Oryctolagus cuniculus: one gene and its partners. Each later gene encodes a partner of the first gene's protein in a complex. Links are inferred from orthologs where the notes say so. Each region holds a gene or a part of one and is shown in the gene's direction. Other genes may lie near its edges. The genes, in order: NCBP1, PPARGC1B, PHAX and NCBP3.

Evidence for each region.
Region 2: the proteins of NCBP1 (region 1) and PPARGC1B are in contact, whole or in part, in a crystal structure (PDB 6D0Y), measured with the Homo sapiens proteins. The link is inferred for Oryctolagus cuniculus from reciprocal best matches to the Homo sapiens genes NCBP1 and PPARGC1B. Residues at the interface, in NP_002477.1 of Homo sapiens: Glu26, Asp29, His30, Ser33, Leu34, Lys37, Val38, Lys41, Ser42, Ala43, Cys44, Asn49, Gly52, Leu53, Val56; in NP_573570.3 of Homo sapiens: Tyr1006, Glu1007, Ala1008, Met1009, Asp1010, Phe1011, Asp1012, Leu1014, Leu1015, Lys1016, Glu1017, Ala1018, Gln1019.
Region 3: the proteins of NCBP1 (region 1) and PHAX are in contact, whole or in part, in a cryo-EM structure (PDB 8PNT), measured with the Homo sapiens proteins. The link is inferred for Oryctolagus cuniculus from reciprocal best matches to the Homo sapiens genes NCBP1 and PHAX. Residues at the interface, in NP_002477.1 of Homo sapiens: Cys380, Lys381, Pro384, Pro388, Gln389, Leu391, Ala392, Thr395, Phe417, His420, Leu421, Asn423, Phe424, Gln425, Arg427, Trp428, Ser429, Asp432; in NP_115553.2 of Homo sapiens: Ile114, Asn115, Asn116, Ile117, Trp118, Gly119, Val121, Leu122, Glu124, Gln125.
Region 4: the proteins of NCBP1 (region 1) and NCBP3 are in contact, whole or in part, in a cryo-EM structure (PDB 8BY6), measured with the Homo sapiens proteins. The link is inferred for Oryctolagus cuniculus from reciprocal best matches to the Homo sapiens genes NCBP1 and NCBP3. Residues at the interface, in NP_002477.1 of Homo sapiens: Lys330, Ile377, Glu378, Cys380, Lys381, Pro384, Pro388, Gln389, Ala392, His420, Asn423, Phe424, Gln425, Arg427, Trp428, Ser429, Glu431, Asp432; in NP_001107590.1 of Homo sapiens: Glu572, Asp574, Glu576, Leu577, Gln578, Ala580, Trp581, Gly582, Leu584, Ile585, Lys588, Glu589, Arg592.

The regions. Positions count from the first base shown.
Region 1 is NC_091432.1:201,440,529-201,445,718, forward strand, and holds part of NCBP1 (nuclear cap-binding protein subunit 1), read left to right. Parts: coding exon 1-76; exon of another isoform or gene 77-82; coding exon of another isoform or gene 83-105; intron 106-2,532; coding exon 2,533-2,689; intron 2,690-4,965; coding exon 4,966-5,073; intron 5,074-5,190. UniProt on the Homo sapiens protein: Component of the cap-binding complex (CBC), which binds cotranscriptionally to the 5'-cap of pre-mRNAs and is involved in various processes such as pre-mRNA splicing, translation regulation, nonsense-mediated mRNA decay, RNA-mediated gene silencing (RNAi) by microRNAs (miRNAs) and mRNA export.
Region 2 is NC_091437.1:37,173,483-37,179,424, forward strand, and holds the end of PPARGC1B (peroxisome proliferator-activated receptor gamma coactivator 1-beta), read left to right. Parts: intron 1-888; coding exon 889-1,040; intron 1,041-1,921; coding exon 1,922-2,022; 3' UTR 2,023-4,347; downstream 4,348-5,942. UniProt on the Homo sapiens protein: Plays a role of stimulator of transcription factors and nuclear receptors activities. Activates transcriptional activity of estrogen receptor alpha, nuclear respiratory factor 1 (NRF1) and glucocorticoid receptor in the presence of glucocorticoids.
Region 3 is NC_091437.1:15,870,661-15,876,646, forward strand, and holds the start of PHAX (phosphorylated adapter RNA export protein), read left to right. Parts: upstream 1-2,333; 5' UTR 2,334-2,396; coding exon 2,397-2,492; intron 2,493-4,376; coding exon 4,377-4,990; intron 4,991-5,986. UniProt on the Homo sapiens protein: A phosphoprotein adapter involved in the XPO1-mediated U snRNA export from the nucleus.
Region 4 is NC_091448.1:49,102,899-49,108,088, reverse strand, and holds part of NCBP3 (nuclear cap-binding protein subunit 3), read left to right. Parts: coding exon 1-9; intron 10-2,041; coding exon 2,042-2,147; intron 2,148-5,190. UniProt on the Homo sapiens protein: Associates with NCBP1/CBP80 to form an alternative cap-binding complex (CBC) which plays a key role in mRNA export. NCBP3 serves as adapter protein linking the capped RNAs (m7GpppG-capped RNA) to NCBP1/CBP80.

The DNA.
Region 1 (5,190 bases):
TAGAAGGTCTGGCTGGTGTTTTGGAAGCTGATCTTCCCAACTACAAGAGCAAGATCTTAAGACTTCTTTGTACAGTGTATGTATGCAAAAGATTTATGAATCCAGGTGATAATGTGTTATCTACTCTTAAATGCTTTGGGAAATGTTCAAAAGTCGTGTTTATGTTGCAAATGTCATGGCTCTCCTCTTGGGAAATTTATACAAATGAAATGATCTTTAGCCCTTTGAACTCTTTCTTAAAGATAAATAGGACTAAAATTGAAAAGTTTTGTTTGTTAGAACCGTAGAATCATGATTGACTTTTTAAATGAGAAAGTAGACATTTTCTTTCCCAGAGATTTTATTTTGTAAGCATATACTTTTAAATGTATAAATAGAGTTTAACTTATTTTTTTAGCTGGTAGTACCAAACAAATTTGAGAACTGGTAATTAAAGTTGTGGTTCTTGGGAGACAGAAAATGCTTTTGAAGGTATTAATAGACATAATCTTCTGAGTTAGGTTGGCTAATACTGGTGACCGCATTTTGTGAGGATGTTACGGTGGGAAAAGTCTCATGAAATTATGAAAGAGTCTGTCAGTAACCAAGATAATGATCTAGACTTTCAGGTAGACATTGATTGCTCTGAATTGCTGGCCTTGCAAAGAACTAACTTCTGGATAAATAGGGGTCTTCGTAATTTAAATGAAATTATAACCTCTGTAAGCTGTTTTTGAATTATGAAGGTGACTTAAGTTTTTTGGTTTTGTCTTTTGGAAGATCTTATTTATTTGAAAGGCAGATGACTATAATCTTCGATCCACTGGTTCACTCCCCAAATGGCTGCAGCAGCCAAGTTTGGGCCAGGCTGAACCCAGGAGCCCAGAACTTCATCCTAGCCGCTCATGTGGCTGGCAGGGGCCCAGTTACTTGGTTTGTCTTCAGTTGCCTTCCCAGGAGCATTTGTAGGGAGATGGATTGGAAGAGGAGCAGTAGGGACTCAAACTGCACTACCATATGGGATGCTCACATTGCAGGCACCCTAAACCCACCATGCCACAGTACCGGCTCCAAGTTATTTTTTTAATGCAGTTAATTTTTGAAGTTTAAAAAATGCACATACAATTAGTGGGTTTCATTTTAACGTCACATTATTAAAAGTACAGTTAATTTGCTTTAGAATTTTCAAGAGGAATACAGTTAATATTCAGGAACACATATCTTTAAAAAACTAATAAAAATCATTTTGCTGTGGTTATCCAAAAAACTCCTTCTCTTTTAAAAGCACTTAGTAGCATGGAATAGTGTTTATACTTAAACTCTTGTCAGAGGCTATGTTTGTTTAAGGCTGTACCAGTATTGCTTGGCACTATTTTTTAATTTGAGGTTTGGGGAGGTTTATAGGGAGTATGATTTCTGTCCAAGTATTTTTGAAGACCTAAATTGTCCCTAATGCTAGATACCTTAGGAAAACCTTTAACTAGATTTATAAATATGTAAGGTTATAAACTTATAAGAATCCCTTCCCCGTTGAATTATCTCAGGAGTCGCTTTAGTGTTTGAACTTATTTCTAAAGGCTGCCTAAATTATGAAGCAACAGTTGCTTCTTCTAAAGGTTTATTATTGTAATCCTCTCTCCTACTTTTCAAATAATTTTAATGAAATCAACAATGAGTACCAAGTTAAGATTTCAACAGTTTAAGTGATAGGAAATTAGTTGAAATTGGTTTTATTCTGCATCTTTTATAAGTGGCTAGAATAGTGTTTCTCAAAGTGGAATGGGTCCCATGACATTTGGTTAGTTAAGTTTTAAAACTCAGTGCTGTGCCATGTGCCACTCCCCCACCCTCTTAATGATTTTGCATTAAAGAAACTTGTTGTACCCAGAATCTTGTATTTTACCATGGAAGTCATGTCTGGGGAGCTGCTATTTGATTCTACTCAACATACTTGAAGAAAAACTGGTCTAGCGTGAGCTGTGGTATTTATTTCAGTGGTGAAATAACTTCACAATTAAACCGTTTTCTAATTTTTCTTTAAAGATTTTATATATTTGAGAAATAGTTACAGAGAGGCAAAGAGAGAGAGAGAGGTCTTCCATCCGCTGGTCAACTCTCCAATTGGCCGACCCGAAGCCAACCAGGAGCTTCCTCCAGGTCTCCCATATGGGTGCAGGGGCCCAAGCACTTGGGCCAACTTCTACTGCCTTCCCAGGCCACAGTAGAGAGCTGGATCGGAAGCAGAGCAGCGGGGACATGAACCTGCGCCCATATGGGATGCCGATGCTGCAGACCGGAGCTTCAACCCTCTGCCACAGCGCCAGCCCCAGTCTTTCCTAACTTTTTAATTAACTAGAATTAAAGTGAAAAAATTGGGAATCCATGTCTGCAGCTCTTCTTATGGACACATAAGCTTTTTATGGAATAGTTTTACAAACATAATGGTGATCCTATTCCAAAAGTAATGAATGATGAAACATTTATATGAAATTCAGCAAATTAATATAATGCCATTGTTTTGGGGGTTTCCTGTTGTACTGGTTCTCAAATCAGTGCACGTCTGTTACCTGAGAAGTTGACAATTTATACAACGTTGGTTGGACTGCTGAATGCCAGGAATTACAACTTTGGTGGAGAATTTGTAGAAGCTATGATTCGTCAACTTAAAGAATCATTGAAAGCAAACAATTATAATGAAGCTGTGTATTTGGTAAGTTTTTATTTCTATAATTTTGAAGTTTATTTGAGAAACGGAGCTCCCATTGGCTGGTTCAGTTCACAAATGCCCATGATGGCTGGGGCGGGAGGCCCAAACCTGGAGCCAGGAACTCGGTCCAGGTTTCCCATGTGGGTGGCAGGAGCCCAGGCATTCTGATGTGGATGCTGGTATCCTGACCTGTGTCTTAGCTGCTGGAGCGAGCACCACCCTTAACTTTTTATTTCTGTATATCATGACTTAGTGTTGGTATGGAGGAAAAAGGTAAGCACTAACTAAATACTGTGTCTTTTCTCTTGAGAGTCAGTCTCCTATTGACCCTAACAACTGCTCTTTTAAAACCGTTCTCATTAAAGGCACCACAGAGCTCAATACCAAATCCAGGGTCTTTTTTCACTCGGAATCCTAGCTGGTTTCCCTGTATCACCTGCCACCTCCTTTTTTTTTTTTTTTTTTTTTTTTTTTTGTTAATAGGCAGAGTTAGTGAGAGAGACAGAGAAAGGTCTTCCTTCCATTGGTTTACCCCCCAGATGGCTGCTACAGCCGGCGTGCTGCACCAATCCGAAGCCAGGAACCAGGTGCTTCCTCCTGGTCTCCCATGCGGATGCAGGGGCCCAAGCACCTGGGCCATTCTCCACTGCCTTCCCGGGCCACAGCAACCAGGACAGAACCCGGCGCACCAACCGGGACTAGAACCCGCGGCGCCAGCTGCCACCTCCCTTCTATTCCTCATCTTTTACTGGGTCATCTTCCTTTAAACACTCTGCTAGCTTCATAAACCACCTTTGTTTTGATGCTGCCCCCAAATCTGAAAGTGTTTCTCCAGTTTCAAACTTTCTCATAAGTACCAGACCTGTATTTCAAATGTTCCCTGCAAAGCTCTAAGATAACCTTACCTGGAAATCCTTAAATTAATGTCAGTCACATTTCCTTTTTATCTCCTCAACTCACAGTGGCCACTGTCTACTTGGTGACCCACCCAGAAACCTGAGTGTTAACTTTTGTCTTCCTTTTGTCTTTTGAGTTGTTTGCAGCCTACAGTTCTGCCTCCTAAATTTCTCTCATATTTGTTCCTTCTCTATCTCAAGGGCTACCAGTGTACTTCACACCTTCCTCCTCGTGTTCATAAGATCTCTTTAATTTTTTCACATCTAAATTTTCTTTCAGTCTTTCTGCAGTGACACCAAAGTGTTCTTTGTGTTCAGCTCATGGTGGTTGGTGTCTAAAACCCCAATTCCTTCCCATTGTCCTCAGTGATCATAAATCCTGGGGAAAAGGTGATTGACTGGGTTGCAGAAAGTAAATATTAGAACTCATTTATTATAAATGGAATTAAGCCTTAATGTCTAAAACATAAATTGGTAGTGATCCAGTATATATTGTAAATATACCTGTGTTGGAGATAAGGGATCAGATTCTTTTTATGAAGTATACTGTCAGAGTCTGGACCCTCATCAGGCTATAAGACTGAGGTCCAGACTCTAGCTGGACCCTTAGTGGTTGCCCTGATCTGTTTCTTCGTACCTCCTACACTCTCCGCTGTGTCAAAATTACCTGCTCCCTAGTTTGCCCTCTCTGCTCACTGCTTGAGGGGTATGTACCTGTTAGGACCTAAGCTAGTTACTGCCTTTATGATGCTGACCCTACTCACTCTGTCACTGTTCTTATAGCACTTTGATTTGCCTCTCAGTAGAGGACTCATCCCTTTGTGTGAGAATGTGCCTGCCAGGATCTTACCTGTAACAGGAACTTTAGAAGTGCTTACCAGTGGCCACAAAGGGCACCCAATAAATTAAACAGATTTTCCATTATTATGGTTCAGGAAAATTATAGCCAAATGGGAAAGGACTTTGTAGGTGATGTCACTAAGATATTTACAGGCTGAGCTCTTAGTGTCGTGTAGCATGGGAACCTGTGAGCTCAGGTTTTCTGTTCTTCATGTGGTCTCTCTCACAGCTACTCAGCTCTGCCATTGTAGCACTAAAGCTACCATGGACAGTGTATAACTGAGCATGACTATCTTCCAGTAAAAATTAACTGGGTGCTGAAATTTGGGTTTCAAGTAATTTGTGTTAGAAAATACTCTTTCCCACCCCCACCCCCCCCAAGAATTTAAAACCTGAAAGCTTTGTTGGTCCACAGGCTGTACAAAAACAGAGTACGCTTGATGCTGCCCTTGGGCTACGGTTTTTCAAACCCTTGGTTTAGATCGTTTCTGTTGTTTATTTTGAACATTCAGATGTAATAGCAGGAATTGCTTGCCCCCACAGGTCCGTTTTTTGTCTGATCTTGTGAATTGTCATGTGATTGCTGCCCCATCAATGGTTGCTATGTTTGAAAATTTTGTAAGTGTAACTCAGGAAGAAGATGTGCCTCAGGTGAGAGAACCGCTTGTGTTGAATTTCATCCGTTTAGCACCAGGAATGTGTTAATACAATGGCAATAAAAGATCACAGTATAAATTCTTGATACCTGAAAGTTAGTAGCTGAGTTAC
Region 2 (5,942 bases), on another chromosome or scaffold:
CTGGGTTCAGCAGGGTGTTGGGAATGGGATGCCCTTGAATGTTTATTAGATGCCTACAGAGCTGCAGGGAACGGCCCCTTCGTCTCTGCCCTTTGGATTCTTCCTCTTGTTCGCGAAGCAGAATGTCAGAGTGGACCTGAGTTTAGGGCCCCCTTGCTCTGGAAGCCTTTCCAGGCCGACTTTCCTCCTTTTTGCAGAGTGGCTGCCTCCAGTGCTAAGCTTACCTCCCACCAACCTAGAGACCCCAGGGCAAGCAGGCGTCGCCCTCACAGTTCCAGCAAAGATCTGGGCTGAGTTCTCTGGGGGTTGGTTTTGAGTGACAGCTCACCCTTGAACCAACCACTGTATCCAGGGAGAGCCACCTTCCTGGGACTTCCCCCGGCCCCCTGAGCCTGGTTGGCTAACCGATGCTTTTGTCCGAGGAAGGGGGCTGGAAGCCAAGCAGGCAGGAGGAAGGTGATGTTAGCGAATACCGGCCATGGTGGACGCAGTGCAGACCACAGCGGCAGCCGTGGAGGTGGTGCCTGGGGCCAGGTTTGCAGGGTGCAGGGTCATGTGATGGTGGGAACGGGCAGTTGGCAGGGCAAGTGCACAGAAAAGAGTTATGGGAGTCTGTTCGGAGCGTCGGCTTTAACGTCCTGGAAGGCCTGGGTCTGAATTCAGGCTCGACCATGGGTGGAGGTAATGACAGTAGCCACCTCCCAGGGTCATCTAAGACAGTGTGAGGCTGTGTCCGCACAGGTTTGCGACTTTTGTTACTGCCACTGCAGCGGTCAGCCTGGGGGCTACGTGACGTGGGCGCGGAGTCCGCGTGGCTCTCTGCTCCTTGTGTGGTGCTGGGCGGTCGGGCAGCGCCCTGGGAATGCTCTCCCTTGCCTTCTCCCCTAGAGGCGAGAAGTGCGGCTACGTCACCTTCCGGTGTTCCGAGCACGCGGCCCTGTCTCTGAGGAACGGCGCGGGGCTGCAGCGCCACGAGCCCTCCTTCCAGCTGAGTTACGGAGGGCTCCAGCACTTCCGCTGGCCCAGGTACACCGACTATGGTAAGTGCCTGAGGTCCGGCTCCAGCTGGCGAGACCCAAGGCCCCTCCTGGACGCGCTTCCCCTCCCCGGGCCCCCAGCTGCCCCAGCAGCCTCTTGGCCTGGGGGCTCCCATCTTCCTTTTCTTCCAGCCTTTGGTCCATTTTGTCCTGTCCCTTGGCTGCCACCAAGAAGCAGTAGCCCAGCTTCCCGAGGCCTGTGGGGAGAGGGCCACCCTGTGTTCACAGCTGGTTGGCAGAGCCATGGCTGCTGTCTCTGACCTAGCGGGGCCACCTGCTACCCTGCCCTCTTGAGAGGTGTTCCCTGGTGACCCCTTGACAAAGTGCAGCCGTGTCTATGGGGGGGCCACAGTGGAACAGTACCAGTGGTGGGCCCTTGCCAGCTGTGGACAAGTTGGCCCAGGACAAAGAAGCAGAATGTAGGAAACAATCACTCGTTGGGATGAGCACAGTGTGGCCTGCGGGCTCCAAGGCTGGTAGCAGCAGATCTCAGTGGGTTCTCACCAGGCGGTGCTGCGCTCGGCTGCAGGTGCACCTGTGGGCCTCAGTTTCCCTATGTATGCCAGACAGAGATGCCAGTTTTGTTAGCCTTCCCATGTGTGAGTCAGCAGCAGGCTCTAAGGTTCTGGAGCTGGAAAGGAGCTCGGGGTGCCCCAGCTCAGGCCCTGCCTTGCTCTACAAACAGAACAACCAGGGCCCAAAGCGTAGGTGCACTGGCAGAGCTGTCAAGGCAGAAGGGCGGTCGGTGCTCTCGGTACTCATCCCTGCTCTGGGGCCTCGGGCCACAGCCCGAGCTCAGAGGCAGGTGGCCCGGTGCTGCGGGCTCCGTCAGTCGCTCACCGCCTTCCCCTCTCCCTGGCTCCTCCACCCCCCCCCCCCGCCAGATTCCAATTCTGAAGAGGCCCTCCCCACGCCCGTGAAAAGCAAGTACGAAGCCATGGATTTTGACAGCTTGCTGAAGGAGGCCCAGCAGAGCCTGCACTGATCAAGCCTTACCCTTCGAGGAATACCTCAATACCTCAGACAAGGCCCTTCCAATATGTTTACGTTTTCAAAGAAGTGAGGTCGCCGAGGAGGAGAGCGCGAGCGAGCGTGAGAGTACACACGGAAGAGAGACTTGAACTTGCTGTCCTTTTCAGAACAAGATCAATGTTTACATTGAACAAAGCTGCTTCTGTCCGTGAGTCCCCATGGTGTTGATGTTCCACTGCCATGTTGGTGTCCTCGCTTCCCACGGGTTGTCCGGGCGCGCGCCTCCCGTGCTGGGTCGGTCACCCTGTGCCCCCTCATCCCTGCGTAGCCTTGCAGCTGTGTTCGCCATAACACTGTTTGTCTGTAGTGTGTGATGATGAACTTGTTACTTGTGAATAGAATCAGGACTATCAACTCGTTTTTAATTGAAAAAAAAAAAAAAAGAACAAAGTATATCCTTCAAATACTGTATTTATGGCTCAGATGTGCTGTGCCTGGGATTATTGTATCGCTTCCTTGAGTTTTAACTATGCACTGTCCTAAGATGTTTGCCGCTGAGCTGCTCTGCTTCCCTTCCCAGGCTGCCCTGGAGGGGCTGTGTGGCCTCCGGCCCCACAAGGAGCAGCACAGACAGCTTTCTGGGTCTTCCCCATCTTGTGTCCAGCGGCCCCTTCTGGCATGTGCCCATCTGTTCGCTCTCAGCCCCTCCCGTACCTTGTAAAGAGGGCCAGGCCAGCTGCACTGTGCCCATTGTCTAGGAGAAGCAAGGCTGTGCCCAGAGGGTACAAGCGGCTTGTCTGGGATCCCGTGGCCAGTGACCCAGACCAGACCTCCTGATTCCCAGCATTTGGGGCATCCAGACCACAGCTGAGTCATGTTGCCAGCCACATTCCAGGCGTGGCACACGTGCTGTGCACACCGTCAGCTCTGAGCCCAGTGGTCCTGTGGTTTGCCTCTGCCTGTGGGCAATGCGCCGTCAGTGGGTTGTGATGCACCTGGCAATGGCTGTCGTCCCTCTGGGGCCAGTCGCCGGCCCCTCCTCTCCCTGTTGTGAGGCTGTTGTCTTTACCTGGTCCTCACGTGTAGAGTTGTTTTGGTGGAGTGGAGTAGAGTAGAGCCAGGAGGCAGTGTGAGGCTAGGGATGGAGGTGACAGTCTCCACCACTGGGAAACATTCTGTCTGAACTTGACCTGAGGCTTGGTTCTTGAACAATGTGAGAGCCACACCCAGCTGGATGTTCTGCGGGGCCTTTGTTGAGGGCGGCAGTGGCCGGGCAAGGTGGGCACCCCTGCTGCCCGCCAGCATCTCCTCCTTGATCCCCTTCATTCAGCAGGGGTCTTTGGGAAGGTTTTGTTTTGTTTTTTAGGGGTCCTGCTACTTTCAAAATGCTTGAAAGTGGTTCATTAGTCTTGACCTAGTCCCTTGAGAATTGGTAGTTTTTTTTTTTTTTTTTTTTTTTTTCTTTTTCAGATTATCAAATACCTCTAGGTAAACTGAGCCCATGACCTTGTCCTGAAGGTGAGCGTGCTTTCAGTCCCTCGGTAAGGCTGGAGGGCACAGGCTTTAGCAGGATCAGAGAATTTGAGCTCCTGTGTGTGTCAAGTCGTTTGACCTTTCTGGACCCCTGATAAAGTGAAGTGAGAGGGAGAGTTCAGCCATTTCCAGCAGTCTCAGCTTCTGCTAAGGCAGCGTCTAGCTCAGGGTGGCACATACGAAGTACAGGCACCACCACTGCCCTGTTCTTGGCCAATGCAGATATAACTAATCTAACACAGCACTCATGTTCTTTGACCCCAGATGTGTTATTAAGAGGCCACAACACAGTGCTCTGGGCTGCCATTACTAACTGGCCAGAGTTTAATCAACCACACATCCTGGTCTAAGCTGTGAGAGGTTCCGATCAGTCAACACAGAACCTTTTATGCTGCCTGGGTTTTATGCCAACCCTTCCCCGTCTGTCGTGTCCCAATCTAGGAGAGAAAACACCCCTAAAGCCATTCTGGGCCTGGGACTCCCCGTGCCCTGTGACACACAGCCCTTCTCAGGCAGGGCGGGACGGGGGAGCGGAAGAGCAGGCAGGAACAGCTTTGGTGAAGACAGGGTTTATCCAGATGGACCAAAAAAGGGACTTTCCACGGTACAGACCTGGTCGTTCTAAGTTCCTTTATAGCTCTTCACTGCCTAGCACATAGTAGGCACATTAGACAGGTTTGTGGGGTGGGATAGAATTTCAGTCTTGCTGCTGCCTCCGCTACGTCCTGGTGTGCATCAGGGAGTGACCTCCGCCTTCACCTGGGAACGAGAATGAGCACTAGCATCCAAGTTGTGACCCCAGCAAGAATTCCCTGTTACTTGGAGGGGGCCCGTCCCCCCGCCGGCACCTCTGTGCTGAAAGGAGTCATCGGCATCTTCTCTGAGCCCCTCTGTTGGCCGCCTCCTCTGGCACTGGCCACAGGTTCTGTCTGGGGCTGGTGGCACTTTCTGGTCATGAAATGCAGATTTGAAGGAAGGACCAGCCCACCCACCGCGTCGGGGTACATGGAGACTGGAAGATATTTAGACGTTGGCCCTTGAGCTTAGATAGCAGAGCCCGAGTGTGGGGTCGGAAGCTGACGATAGCCTTGGCTTGCTGTCCCAGCCGTGAAAGGCTACAAGCTCCAGAGCTGACCACTGTGGACGACCTCTGTCCCGAAGAGTCACTCAGTGCTGTGTGTCATCCCCAAGGGCGCGCCAAGGTCTTTCAGGAAAACGAGCCCACCTTGCTCTCTTTCCCACCACATTCAGGAGCGATCCAGAGGGAGCAGCCGCTGCTGGCAAGCATCTCATCATAGCTTGGTCCTCATGTCTGCTCTCGATGGTGTTTACGTGTGCTCGCCATCAAAGCTTCCCCCGGCCTGTGCTGAAGCTGCCCACGCAGGGCAGCTCCTACCGTCTCTGTGTGCCCTGCTGGTGTTTTCCAAAAATGTCCAATCCAACCGCTATGTGGAATTCTTCCATCTCCTTCCTCAGTCGGTACCAGGCTGAATCAGAGTCCTCGCTCTCGGGGGCTCTGGTTACCGAAGGAAAATGCATCAAAGAGGTAAAGAATATGAGTGGATGGAGTGCAGCTAAGGGCCCCGCCCCCTCTCCCCACAGCGCACCTTGTCCCCAACCAGAAAACTGCTTGGAGTCAGAAAGCACCTGTGTGGTGTCTGCGTCTGCCTGGAGATCTTGCAGCTTCGAGTGTTACATGCTCAGGAAAGAGGCGGGGCTTCCGGGAGGGGAGGGGAGAGCAGGGCTCCGAGGAGGAGAAACTCGGTGCACAAAGCTCTGACCCGGGAAGTGAGAGGAGGTGCAGCAAGGTGCCTTGCAGGGCCTGAGGCCTGAGTTCGTTGGTGTTATGAGAGCGATTTCTCCTGGATGCATGCAGCGCAGGTGATGGGTGGGGAGGCGTGGCAGGCATTGAAGGCCCAGGGCTTCTGCAGGGACTGCTCCAGCCGTGGCCCATCCCAGGCCTTGAGTGCCGCTGAACTTGGAGCCGAGCCTGCAGCTTGAGAAATGGGGCAAATCAACCCCAGGGGATGTGTTGTCACCCTGACTCCGCATTAGCAAGATTTGAGATGTAGCAGCTGCCCTCAGTTTGGGGGAACCTGAACCCCAGCATCAGATGTGACCAAGGAAAGAAATTGGTTGTATAGTGATCACAGATAAGGTGAATCTAGTGGGTTCATTGGTCAAGGAAGAGGGTCCCTCTCAGTCCTTCCCCTGGGGCAGCAGGAAGCAATACATTAAAGTGGGTCCCGAGCCCCACACAGATGGGCTCCAGGGCCGTGCTGTGGGCAGAGTCTGGGGTACAGGGTAAGTGGGAGCTGGAAGCCTGCGTGTACCAAGATGCTGGTGGCCCAGAACAGACCTGGGTTGGGGGGATGCCCAGGGAGGGGGCAGAGGCTGGCT
Region 3 (5,986 bases), on another chromosome or scaffold:
AGCCATCTGTCCTGGGGATGAAATGTAGTTGTTATCTGCTTGCCTGTGACTTTGAACTGTGGTCCCTCTCTGCTCATATGTAACCATTTTAGGTTCTGCTTGTTAGTACAGAGCAATGATGGTTAACCCTTGCCAGACAGCTTACAGCTCAGTGTGGGTGTGGGAAAAACAAATCTTCAGTAACTACATTCCCATGGGCAATACTGTATCAATCTCGTGGCTGCCACGTAATATTAAACTATCCAATCAAATGTATGTAGGTGACCTTATAAGGGAGACAACAAGGCTAAAACCATTTATAAGAGAAAACTTTGTTCAAGGCTTTTGGATAAGAAATTCCACTCGGGCCTTATGCCAGCATAATAAAAGACTACTTTCCCATTAAGAGCCCTTGGTGTCTTGTCTTGGTACACGAATCCTACTACATCAGGACGGAACCAGCGCCCATACGGGATGCCAGTAATTCAGACAGCAGCTTTATCTGCTACGCCACAGCACTGGGCTCAATTTTAATTGATTTTCAACTGATTCCATATGATTTATATATACAAGTCTAAGAACATACCGATATTCCCTCCTGAGAGCCACACCCCCATGACCCAAGGATCTCCCCAGTAAGCCACTGCCTCCCATATTGCCACACTAGGACCATGCCTCCAACCCACAAACATCTGGAGGGAAAATTCACACCACATCAGTCAATGACACTATTGTCCTGGGAAAACTTGTACTACCAGGCTCACAAAAAATGATTCTACAGCAGAAGGCTGGGCTCCTGTTTCACAGGGAAATTACCTGCAGAGACGGCCTCCCAAGTCATCCTGCAAACTGCTGGACTCTGGCCAAGACACCAACTGCCCATCTGGTTGTCAAGGAGCCCAGCATCATGAGAACTGCTCCTTGACAATGTGTGATGCCTGGGGCCGGCACTGTCACACAGTGGGTTAAATCGCTGCCCAATGCCAGACCCCTCACGGGCACCACTTCCAATCGAGCTCCCTGCTAATCCGCTGGGGAAGGCAGCAGAAGATGGCCCAAGTGCTTGGGCTCTTGCCACTCATCTGGTAGACCCGTAAGAAGCTCCTGGCTCCTGGCTTCCTGGCCTGGACCCGCCCCAGCCACTGCAGCCATTTGGAGAGTGAGCCAGTGGATGGAAGACCTCTTTGTCTCTCCCTTCTTCCATCCCTCTGCCTCCGTAAAATGAACACACACATAAATATTTTTTAAAAAAAAGAAGAAAGAAAGAAAAGAAAAAAAAAGGGCCAGCATTGTGGTGCACCAGGTTAGAAATTTAAAAAGGAATTGCAAAGAATCTGGAATAGCTAAGATATTTTTTCCAAAAAAACCCGTATAACTTTAACATTATTTTAAATCTACAGTAATCAAGCATCACATTGGTTGGTGTAAAACAGGCATAAAGATCAGCGGAGCAGAATAGAGAGCACAGGAAATTCAAAGAGGAAAAAGTAGTCTTTTCAACAAACAGTGGTCTACTAATTGGACAGTTACACATACACACACACGCACACAAATCCAGATTCTTGACTCTTATTGCAAGCCGTATATAGTAATTAACTCAAAACAGACCACAGACCCAAAAACGTGAAAACTTCGAGAGAAAACACAGGAGAGCATCTTCGTTGCGGGGCGCTGTTGTGTGCATTATAGGATGCTGAGGTGCAACCCTGGCCTGGCCCCCCGTGTCAGCATCACCCCCAACGCACAGCAACTGAAAAGATCTCCAGACGACGCCAGACGTCCCCTGCAGAAGGAAACAGCCCCAGGTTGAAAAGCACTGGGCTATTCTGTGCCCCTGGGACACAAAACGCACACAAGGAAACCACCCATAAAGGAGACTTTGCATCATGGCTCCTCAAAGGACACTGATCAGATGTGAGAGCGAGCCACAGACACGGAGGGAGCAGGGTACAACTCCAATCAGATCAGATGTTCAACAAGGGGTCTCCAGAGCAGGGATGCCATGCTTATAATTCAGTGAAAAGGGAAAAATTCCGACGTTCAACACGAAGGACACACGCACATGCCAAACAGCGGGTAGAAGATACTCAGCAGCACCGCTCACCAGGGAGGTGCGGCGGTGCGCGGGCACCCGGGCCTCGAGGGGCGACGCCTCCTTCCGGGTGCACCTGCCCGGGGCAGCCGCACCCGGGCCTCGAGGGGCGACGCCTCCTTCCGGGTGCACCTGCCCGGGGCAGCCAGGCCACGCCGGGACCCCCGGGCCGCCGCCCCCGCACACACGGCGAGGACGGGCTCGCAGGCGGGAGCCCCGCGCCCCGGCCTTCACGCCAGCTGCCGCGCCGCCGGCTCCCGCGCGGGGGCGCCCGAGCGGCCGCCGCGCCGCCGGAAGTGCTCTCCCGAGCGCGCGCCGCGGGAAGATGGCGCTGGACGCGGGCGACATGGAAGATGGGCAGCTCTCCGACTCGGACTCCGACATGATGGTCGCGCCCAGCGACAGGCCGCTGCCAGTGCCGGTGAGTGCGGAGGGCGGCCGGGGGGCGCGCGGAGCCCGGGCCGCCAGCCTGGAGGCGGGCGTGCAGCGGCGGCGACTCCGCCTGCCAGGCCGCTGGTCGTGGTGTAAAAACCCAGCGGCGTCCCCGGCCTGGCGTCGCTCCGTTGTCCCGGAAGGGCCGAGACCCGGGGCCGTCGGCCTGGAGCAGCCCGCGCTGCTCATCCGGGCCCCGCGGGGTGAGGGGACCGTGGCCCGCAGAGCCCGCCCGCCCGCCCGGCTTTGTCTTGCGGGGCCGCCGGGGTCCCCCGCCGTCCGGCCCGCCTGCGTCCCCCGGGCGTCGCGCCGCGGACGCGGTGGTCGTGCGGGGCGGGGGCGCGGCCCGCACGCAGCGACTCGGCCGACGTCGCCCTAGACGCGGGGACGGACTCCTGCGGGACTCGGCCGCCGCCGGCCCGGCTGCTGGCGCTCGCGGGAGCCCGGCGCACGCGGAGTTCGTGTCGAGTCCCGGGTGCCGAGGGAGCGTGAGTTCTGGAGCTCCGTGCATTGTGTGCTTCCAAGCAGCTGGAGACGGGGTGTGCGGTGTTTCACCGCGCACAGAAGTTTGAGGTGCTGGATCTGCTCAGAGCTCTGATTCGCAGCTCACTCGGTGTAGACTACACTGCAGAACCCCACCTTGGACGCCAGGGGGTTGTGAAGTTGTTATGTGGCGGTAGTTATTTTTTTTTTTTTTAAAGCACAGGTGACTCCTTTTGCATATAAATGCCCTGGGAGTTAATTCCGACACAATTTGTTCTCAGTGGTTTTACCTAAATTGCTCCGTGACTTGGTAAACTGGCGTCATGAACTCTGCAGTTTTAGGATTGTTAGGGGGACAAGGTACTGGGTAAACTCCCTGCCTGCCACGCGGGCATCCTGTATTGGCGTCAGTTTGAGTCCTGCCTGCTCCACTTCGGATCCAGCTCCCTGCTAAGGCACCTGGGAAAACAGCAGAAGACGGCCCAGGTGCTTGAGCCCTGCACGTATGTGGGAGACCCGGATGAAGCTCCTGCTTGGAAGATCTCTCTCAATACGTCTGGCTTTCAATAAATAAATCTTAAAAAAAAAAAAAAAAGTGATATCACGGGTTCCTCCCGGTAGGAGTTTGCCTTCTAATCCAAAGGGAAACAATCATTGAACCTTATGGAGGAAGTTGGTGTGTGTACAGCAAGGCGGGTATCTGTGGAAAGAAAGAAAACAGTTCTAACTGCCAGTAGCAAATTGCGTGTGACATTCCCAGGCATTCTGACAATAATGGAAAAGACGAAATCTTCTGAAAGTGAGAACTGAGAGCTCTGCTAATTTCTTAAGAGACCTTAGAATTAAATGCTGCATTAGCTGTAGAAATAAGAATGCGTAGCCTTTTTTCTTCCAAGATTCATTTATTTATTTAAAAAGCAGAGAGACACATCTTTGATCTACTGGTTCACTCCTCAAATGCCCCCAATAACCAGGGTGGGGCCAGGCTGATGGCAGGAGCCCAGAATCCCACCCAGGTCACCCACATGGGTAGGAGGGGCCCGAGGACTTCGGCCATCTTCTGCTGTCCTTCCAGTATATTAGCGGGGACCTGGATCAGAAGTGGAGCAGCCAAGACTCAAAGTAGGCACTCAGATACGGGATGTGAGGTGTCCAAGATAACAGCTTAATCATTGCACTTCACAACGCCCATGCCAGGTTTTTTAGCTTTATATTTGGCAAATTCCATAAGCATTGGTTTCAGAGATGTTTTTGAAGACAATTTTGTTCTAGAATAGTCCAGTTGAGTCTCTCTCTCCCTCGCTCTTTATTTTTTTAAGCAGCACATGGCGGGTGGAATACATGGCGGAATGTGTTTTGTGGAACTGACCGTGTCTCCTCTTGCTTGCAGAAAGTTCTAGTAGGGGGCAGTGCCGCGAGGGGCTTGCAGAGTCCCACAGCAGCGGGTGCACCCGCGTCACATTACCGGACTGTTAAAAGTGTGGATTCAAGTGAAGAGAGCTTTTCTGATTCAGATGATGAGAGCTCTCTTTGGAAGCGCAAGCGACAGAAGTGTTTGAGCCTGCCTCCCAAGCCAGAGCCCTTCCAGTTTGACCAGAGTAGTCAGAAGCCCCCCGCCGCCGGAGGAAAGAAGGTTAACAACATCTGGGGCGCCGTGCTGCAGGAGCAGAACCAGGACGCCGTGGCCACTGAACTGGGCATCTTGGGAATGGAGGGCACGATTGACAGAAGCAGGCAGTCAGAGACCTACAATTACCTGCTGGCTAAGAAACTCAGGAGGGAATCTCAGGAGCACGCAAAAGATGTAGACAAGGAGCTAGACGACTACATGCATGGTGGCACAAAGGGGGGGTCGAAGGACGAGGAAAACGGGCAAGGGCATCTCAAGCGGAAGCGGCCCGTCAGAGACAGAGTGGGAGCCAGGCTGGAGATGAACTACAAAGGCCGGTACGAGATCACGGAGGAGGATTCTCAGGAGAAGGTGGCCGATGAAATCGCTTACAGGTGAGCAGCTAACTCGGGCCTACCAATGCACGCTCGACCCAGCTCTGTTCTGTTGTTGGAAACTCAGTGTGCATTCATGATGGCAAACGCATTAGCAATGTTGCCTTGAATTTTAATTACTTGGTTATTTTGCTTAAAGAACTCTGTGATTATTTGGTTATGTCAGTACATTTGTGTTTTAAATTTGAACAAGACTGAGAGGATAATCTTGCAGACTTCTAAAACTTTAAGTAACTCTTTGCATTTTGTGCCATAAAGCTCTTATATGGCACTTTTTTTGAATTCTGTGTATTGACTTGTTGTTATTTTCTGGAGCAGGCCAAAGCCAGGAGCCTAGCACTCCGTCCAGGTTTGCGACATGGTGCCTTCTGTCTGCCATGGTGCACGGTCACAAGAAGCTGGATCAGATGCAGAGCCAAGGCCTGAATGCGCGCGCTGATACGGGATGCACACATCCCAAGCAGCATGTGCACGCGCACACGAAGTGCCTGCCCCCAGGGCATCTTTTTAAATTATGTCTCTCTCTAGAGTTTTCAAGCACTTGTGACTTTGTAAACTAGCTCTTGAGGATTATTTTACGTATACTATTCACTCATCTCAAGTGTTGGGCTTTTTCAGCAAATTTATCAAGCTGTACAACCATCACCAACACTTTTTTTTTTCTTTTTGGGTTTATTTGTTTATTTGAAAGAGAGAGACAGATATTGCTGGGTCACTCCATAATGATCTTTAACAGCCAGGACAGGGTCAGGCCAAAGCCAGAACCCAGGGACTCCATGCTGGTCTCCTATATGGACAGCATGGATCCAAGCACTTGAAACATCGTCTGCTTCCTTCCCAGGGTGCACATAAGTGGGAAACTGGATCGGAAGCTGAGGCAGGACACAATCCCAGGCACTCCAGTGCAGGTGTACTGAGCGTGGCTTAACCTCCTGGGCCACTACACCAGCCACTCGTTGTGTCCATGTGCCCGTGCACAGTTGTGAACCCCTGTCC
Region 4 (5,190 bases), on another chromosome or scaffold:
ACCTCCAAGGTAAGAGAGGCCACGGTTTGTTCAGCTTGATACACAGGGGAGCTTAGTGAACTCGGTCCCTAGGACCTGCAAAACAGTGAATATTTTTAACCTCCTCCTTTTCTTTTGTCAGTGCATTAAACCTGAGGGAAACTGTGTGATACCGTCAGTGATGCCCTCATGCATCCTGAAAGTGTCCAGGCAGCGTTTTTGTGTTCCTCATCCACAAAAAGATCAAAATCACTGTACTTAGATGCCTGCGCTTAACCATTTCCAAGAAAAAGCTTTGTACCGAGAATGCTTTTTTTTGAGCTGTGTCTCTTCTTAGAAAATATGTATCTCTTCTACTTTAAATGAAAGAAAACATGAAAAGTGCCTGGCACGTGGTAGGTGCTTAGTAAATGTCTTCATTCTTCATGGGTCACAGACTTGAAAAACAGGTTTTCTGACTGTGGTGATCTAAACTTGACTTTATTATTTTTTTCATAAAGATTTATTTCTTTGAAAGGTAGATTTTGAGAGAGAGAGAGATCTTCAGTCTGTTGGTTCACTCCCTAAATGGCTGCAAGGACCAGGGCGGGGCCAGTCTGAAGCCAGGAGCCAGGATTTTCTTCTAGGTCTCCTACATGGGTGCAGGGGCCCAAGGACTTGGGCCATCCCTCGCTGCTTTTCCAGGCACATTAGCATGGAGCTGTGTCGGAAGTGAAGGGACCGGAATTCCAACCAGTGCTCACATGGGATGCCAGCCTTGCAAGTGGCGGCTCTACCCGCCATGCCACAACGCGGGCCCCACAATCTAAACTTTAAGAGCCAAGCCACCCGGTACCTGAGAGTATTACCTTTCTTCCACTGAATGCTGCTCAAACCCATGATTTTTGTTATAAATAGCTAATACATATTTGTTTTAAGCACTGATAGCCAATTTAGATATTCTTTCTGATTTTAATGTGTGTAATTAAGTTTGGCACAGAATTTTAAATTACACTTCTGAAAGGCCAAAAGAAAGAGAACTGATCATCTTTTAGACAGCTGTGGAAGTAGAATGAAATGAAAATGTTTTCTTAGTGCAGGGTTCTTAAGAGCCACTAGAGGCGGGCAGTTGGACCTGGATTTATCTTAGGTGTTGGGAGAAACTCACAACGTAGATGATTTTTCCAGTGAGGCATCAGTGCTTCTTGTCACTTAAAGGTGAAAACTGGCAATTCCGGGGACACAGGCTGGAAGAGTGGAGAGTGTGTCTTTGCATCAGAGTTATTTTTAAACGAGGATCTAGCTTTAGGGCGGGGACTGCTTGGGCGGATGTAACGTGGCGGAGTGTGCCAGGTGTGATTACTGTGCCCACAGATGATGGAAGTGGTGGTGATGGGGAGAGGCTCCTAGAAATAGCCCTAGAATCAGAAGCTTGTCCCCCTTAACGTGAGCAGGCACCTCCAGCCTTCTGACTTGGGCCTCAGTTCTGTACCCGGGGAATTGGAATGTTGAGGTTGTGTAGCTGTGATTTGTTGGCATCATTGCTAATAGTTCAGGAACTGGACAGCACTATTCGTTCAATCAGCAAATGCTTGCTGAATTCCTCCTGTGTCCCAGCCACAGCGATAGGCTGTGATAGAATGCAGAGTATTACAGTATACAGCAGTGTTCACGTGGGCCCTCCCACACCATAGACTATGAAATCCAGTGTTCTATAAAACTGTTCAGTTTCAGTATTTCAGATTTATTTTTGTGTTTAAATTAGTGAGAGGGAATAAGAGAGTTCCCATCTTCTGGTTCACTCCTCACATGCCAGTGATGAGCTGCCTGGGCCCAAGGTGGCAGCAGGAGCTCAGTGCAGGAGTGCAGTTGTCTGAGCCATCGCTGCTGCCTCTTAGGGTCTGCACGGATAGGAAGCTGCCGTCAGCACCCAGAGCTGGCGTTGAACTCAGGCACTCCTCACTCCTCGCTGACGGGCCAAGTGCCTGACCCCTGATGTGTTTTGGAGTTGCCGCCGATTCATGTGATAATTTAACTTTCCTTTTCCATGTTTCACTTCCTTGACTTTTTCTATACTTTCTAGGAAGCAATTGAGAAGAAAGAACAGCGAGCCAGGCGTTTCCATTTTCGATCAGAAGTCAATCTTGCCCAGAGAAACGTCGCCTTGGACCGAGACATGATGAAGAAAGGTACAAGGTGTTTCTGGGGGAATCTGTGCACGTTAACCCAGGGAGTGACTTTTCCCTGCCATTGCCTCATGCATCTAACCTTGCTTTATATGAGGAATCTTCTAAAAGTTCATGGTTGCACCAAAATAAACTTATCTTTTAACTCCATTTTCTATTAACTTTCTGAAGTACACACAGCCTGAAAGTAATTTTATGCAGTATTTTTAATGCACCTTTGTTTTGACTGTGACCTGTCACATGAAATCAGGTATATGATTTTCCATCATGTTCAAGAAGTTCTGGTTTTGGGGGCGGGTGTTTGGTGCAGTGGTTAAGCTACTGCTTGAGACACTCGCATCCCATATTGGAGTGTCAGTTTGATTTCAGTTTCCTGCTGCTGCATGCCATGGGAGACAGCAGGTGGTGGCTCAAGTACTTGGGTCCCTTCCACCCATGTGGGAGACCAGGATTAAGTTCTGAGCTCCTGGCTTCCGCCTGGCCAAGCCCCAGCTTTTATGGGCATTGAAGGAGTGAACTAGCAGATGGAAAAGTGCTTTCTGTCTTTCTCCCTTTCAAGTAGATGAAAATAAATAAAAATCTTCAAGAAGGGTTTGGTTTTGGAGCCTTTCATGTTTCAGGTTTTTAGATTAGAAATTCTCAACTGGTACAGCAATCTGTTCCAGTCTTCCAAAGCAGTGTACAGATAGAGGGAAAATTAGTACTCTTAGTGAGCCTATGTCCTTATTTATTATTCCACTCTAATATAAATATTTGAATGCAGAAGGCCCCCCTGTGTTGTATTTGTAAGTTTGTATGTGTTGGGGGGGGTTGGGGGTTTAATTATTTATTTGAAAGGCAGAGAGAGAGAGCGAGCGAGAAAGATCTTCCATTTGCTGAGTCAGTTCCCAAATGCCTGCAGCAGCTGGAGCTGGGCCAGACCAAAACCCAGAACCTGTCATCCGCACGTTGCACGTGGGTGGCAGGGACACATGCTTCCGCTGCCTTCCTGGGTACACTAGCAGGACTGTGGCTGGGAAGCAGAGCAGCTTAGACTTGAGTGAGCACTCTGATATGGATGAACCCACCGTGCCACGAAGCCTGCACTCAGTTTGGCTTTTTTTTTTAAGGGCTCCATGGCAGCCTCTGAATGTGCATGGAAGGTCTGTGTGTGCGAGCTTCTCCAGCCGTGCTTGGCTGATGGGAGCAGAAGCTCAGCACCATGTTGAGTGAAAGGAAGAATCGGGAATAGTTACTATTTCTTGGGAACTTGCTTTCTTACCAAGTACTTGTCAAGCACGTGTTGCATTTGTTTATTGTTTCCCACAACTCTATGAGGTATATATTTTTATCCCCATTTTACACAAAAAAGCTAGAACACATTCATTTAATGAAATGCCCACGGTCGCTCAGCTAGTAAACATGAAGCGGTGTTTGAGCCCAGGGTTGGGTATTTGGTGCAGCAGGTTAAGATGCTGCTTGGGACACCTGTATCCCATGTTGGAGTGCAGGTTCTCATCCTGGCTGCTCCCAGCGGTGACAAAACGTTAAGTTGTTAGAGTGGTGCTTGGCATGTAGGAGGTGCTCAGTAAATGTTATTGTCATTTACTAAGTGAGCAGCCTCTTGGGAGAATGGAGAAGTTGGAAACAGCATCTTGCTTCCTCCAGGTGACAAGTTGTTCATTCCTACTATGAATACCAATATCAATACCAATACCAATACCAATACTACTACTAATAAAAAATAACGTTTGTTAAATGCTGGTCACTCTGCCAGAAGTTAACTTATCCTTTCAATAACCTTATGAGGGAATGCACTTAGCATTTGTGTTTTACCTGAGAGGTTAAGATGCTTGCCCAGAGTTCTACAGCTAGGTTAGGAGCAAGGCTGGACTGAAGGATTGGCCTGGCTAAAGCCTGTGTTCCCACCCAGGCTGCCAGCACTGGGGACCATGCTTTGGGATGCGCTACACTACACTGTTCTGTCCCAAGAGTGACTTGCTTCTTTTGGATGATTTGATGTCAAACTCCTTCTGTCTTGTCCCCAACATCAAGGGTCTCAGGGATGGAAGGCACCTTAAAGGTCATCCAGACCAAGCTCCCAAGCCCAGGGCTGCAGGCCTTTTCCCAAAGTTCCTGTTGGTCCTTTGGCGTCTGCTTAAATGTTTCCTAGTGATAGCACTGAGAACTGTTTACAAGACAGGCAGCTTTGGTTTTGGATTCTTCCTTGTGTTGAAGAAGCATTGTCTTCTAGTTATTGGTTGTTAGTTATTGTGTGGCCCTTTGAGCCACACAATGTAGCCTTCATGTAATGAAAGCATGGGCTTACTGGCGTCCCTACGCTTCCTTTATATGACACAGCTTTCTGATCTCTCTTCTCTGGACCCTTTTCAGTTTCCAAATGACCTTCATCAGGTGAGGTGTTGATTCCAGACAGGCCTGGATTCTTGGAGAGTATGGCAGGACTGGTAGTGCTGTCTCGGTCCTGGCCAGGTCATGGCGGGATACTCTTTGTCTGGTCAGCTCTTTTCTCCCAGGAATTGCACCCAGCAAAACAACTTGTATTTGAGGCACCTTTAGAAAATCCTTTTTTATTTACCGCAGTTTCATTACATCTTGTGAATTGAAAGTGTGCGTGTTTAGTCTGTTGAGTTAGCGTTCGTGTTACTTCTGCCCTTCAGTGCTATGCCCTCCTGCCTTTGTGTCCTCTCTGCCTTGGTCCGCATGGCTTCGACTTCAGCCAGTTGTCGGTGAATGTTGAACAGCGTCTGGCTGTAATCATGCCGCGAACATAGATGCATTAATTATAAGTCTTTTCATTTTATTGTCATGAGAAACTAGAGCAAGAGCACCATCTATGGTATTCCTTGAATTTCTTGGCCTAGTAATCCTGTCAGGAAAGAAACGAGGTTAGTGTGCCTTTCTTACACAGCTCATGTCATTTCCTAAGGGAAAGACTGGTTTCTTAAGAGATCACATATTCTGTCTAATAAGCTATTTTTTATTTCAGAGACTTAGTGTAAGCTTTTAATCTGTGGTCAGATTTCCCTTTTCCTCCTCTATGAAA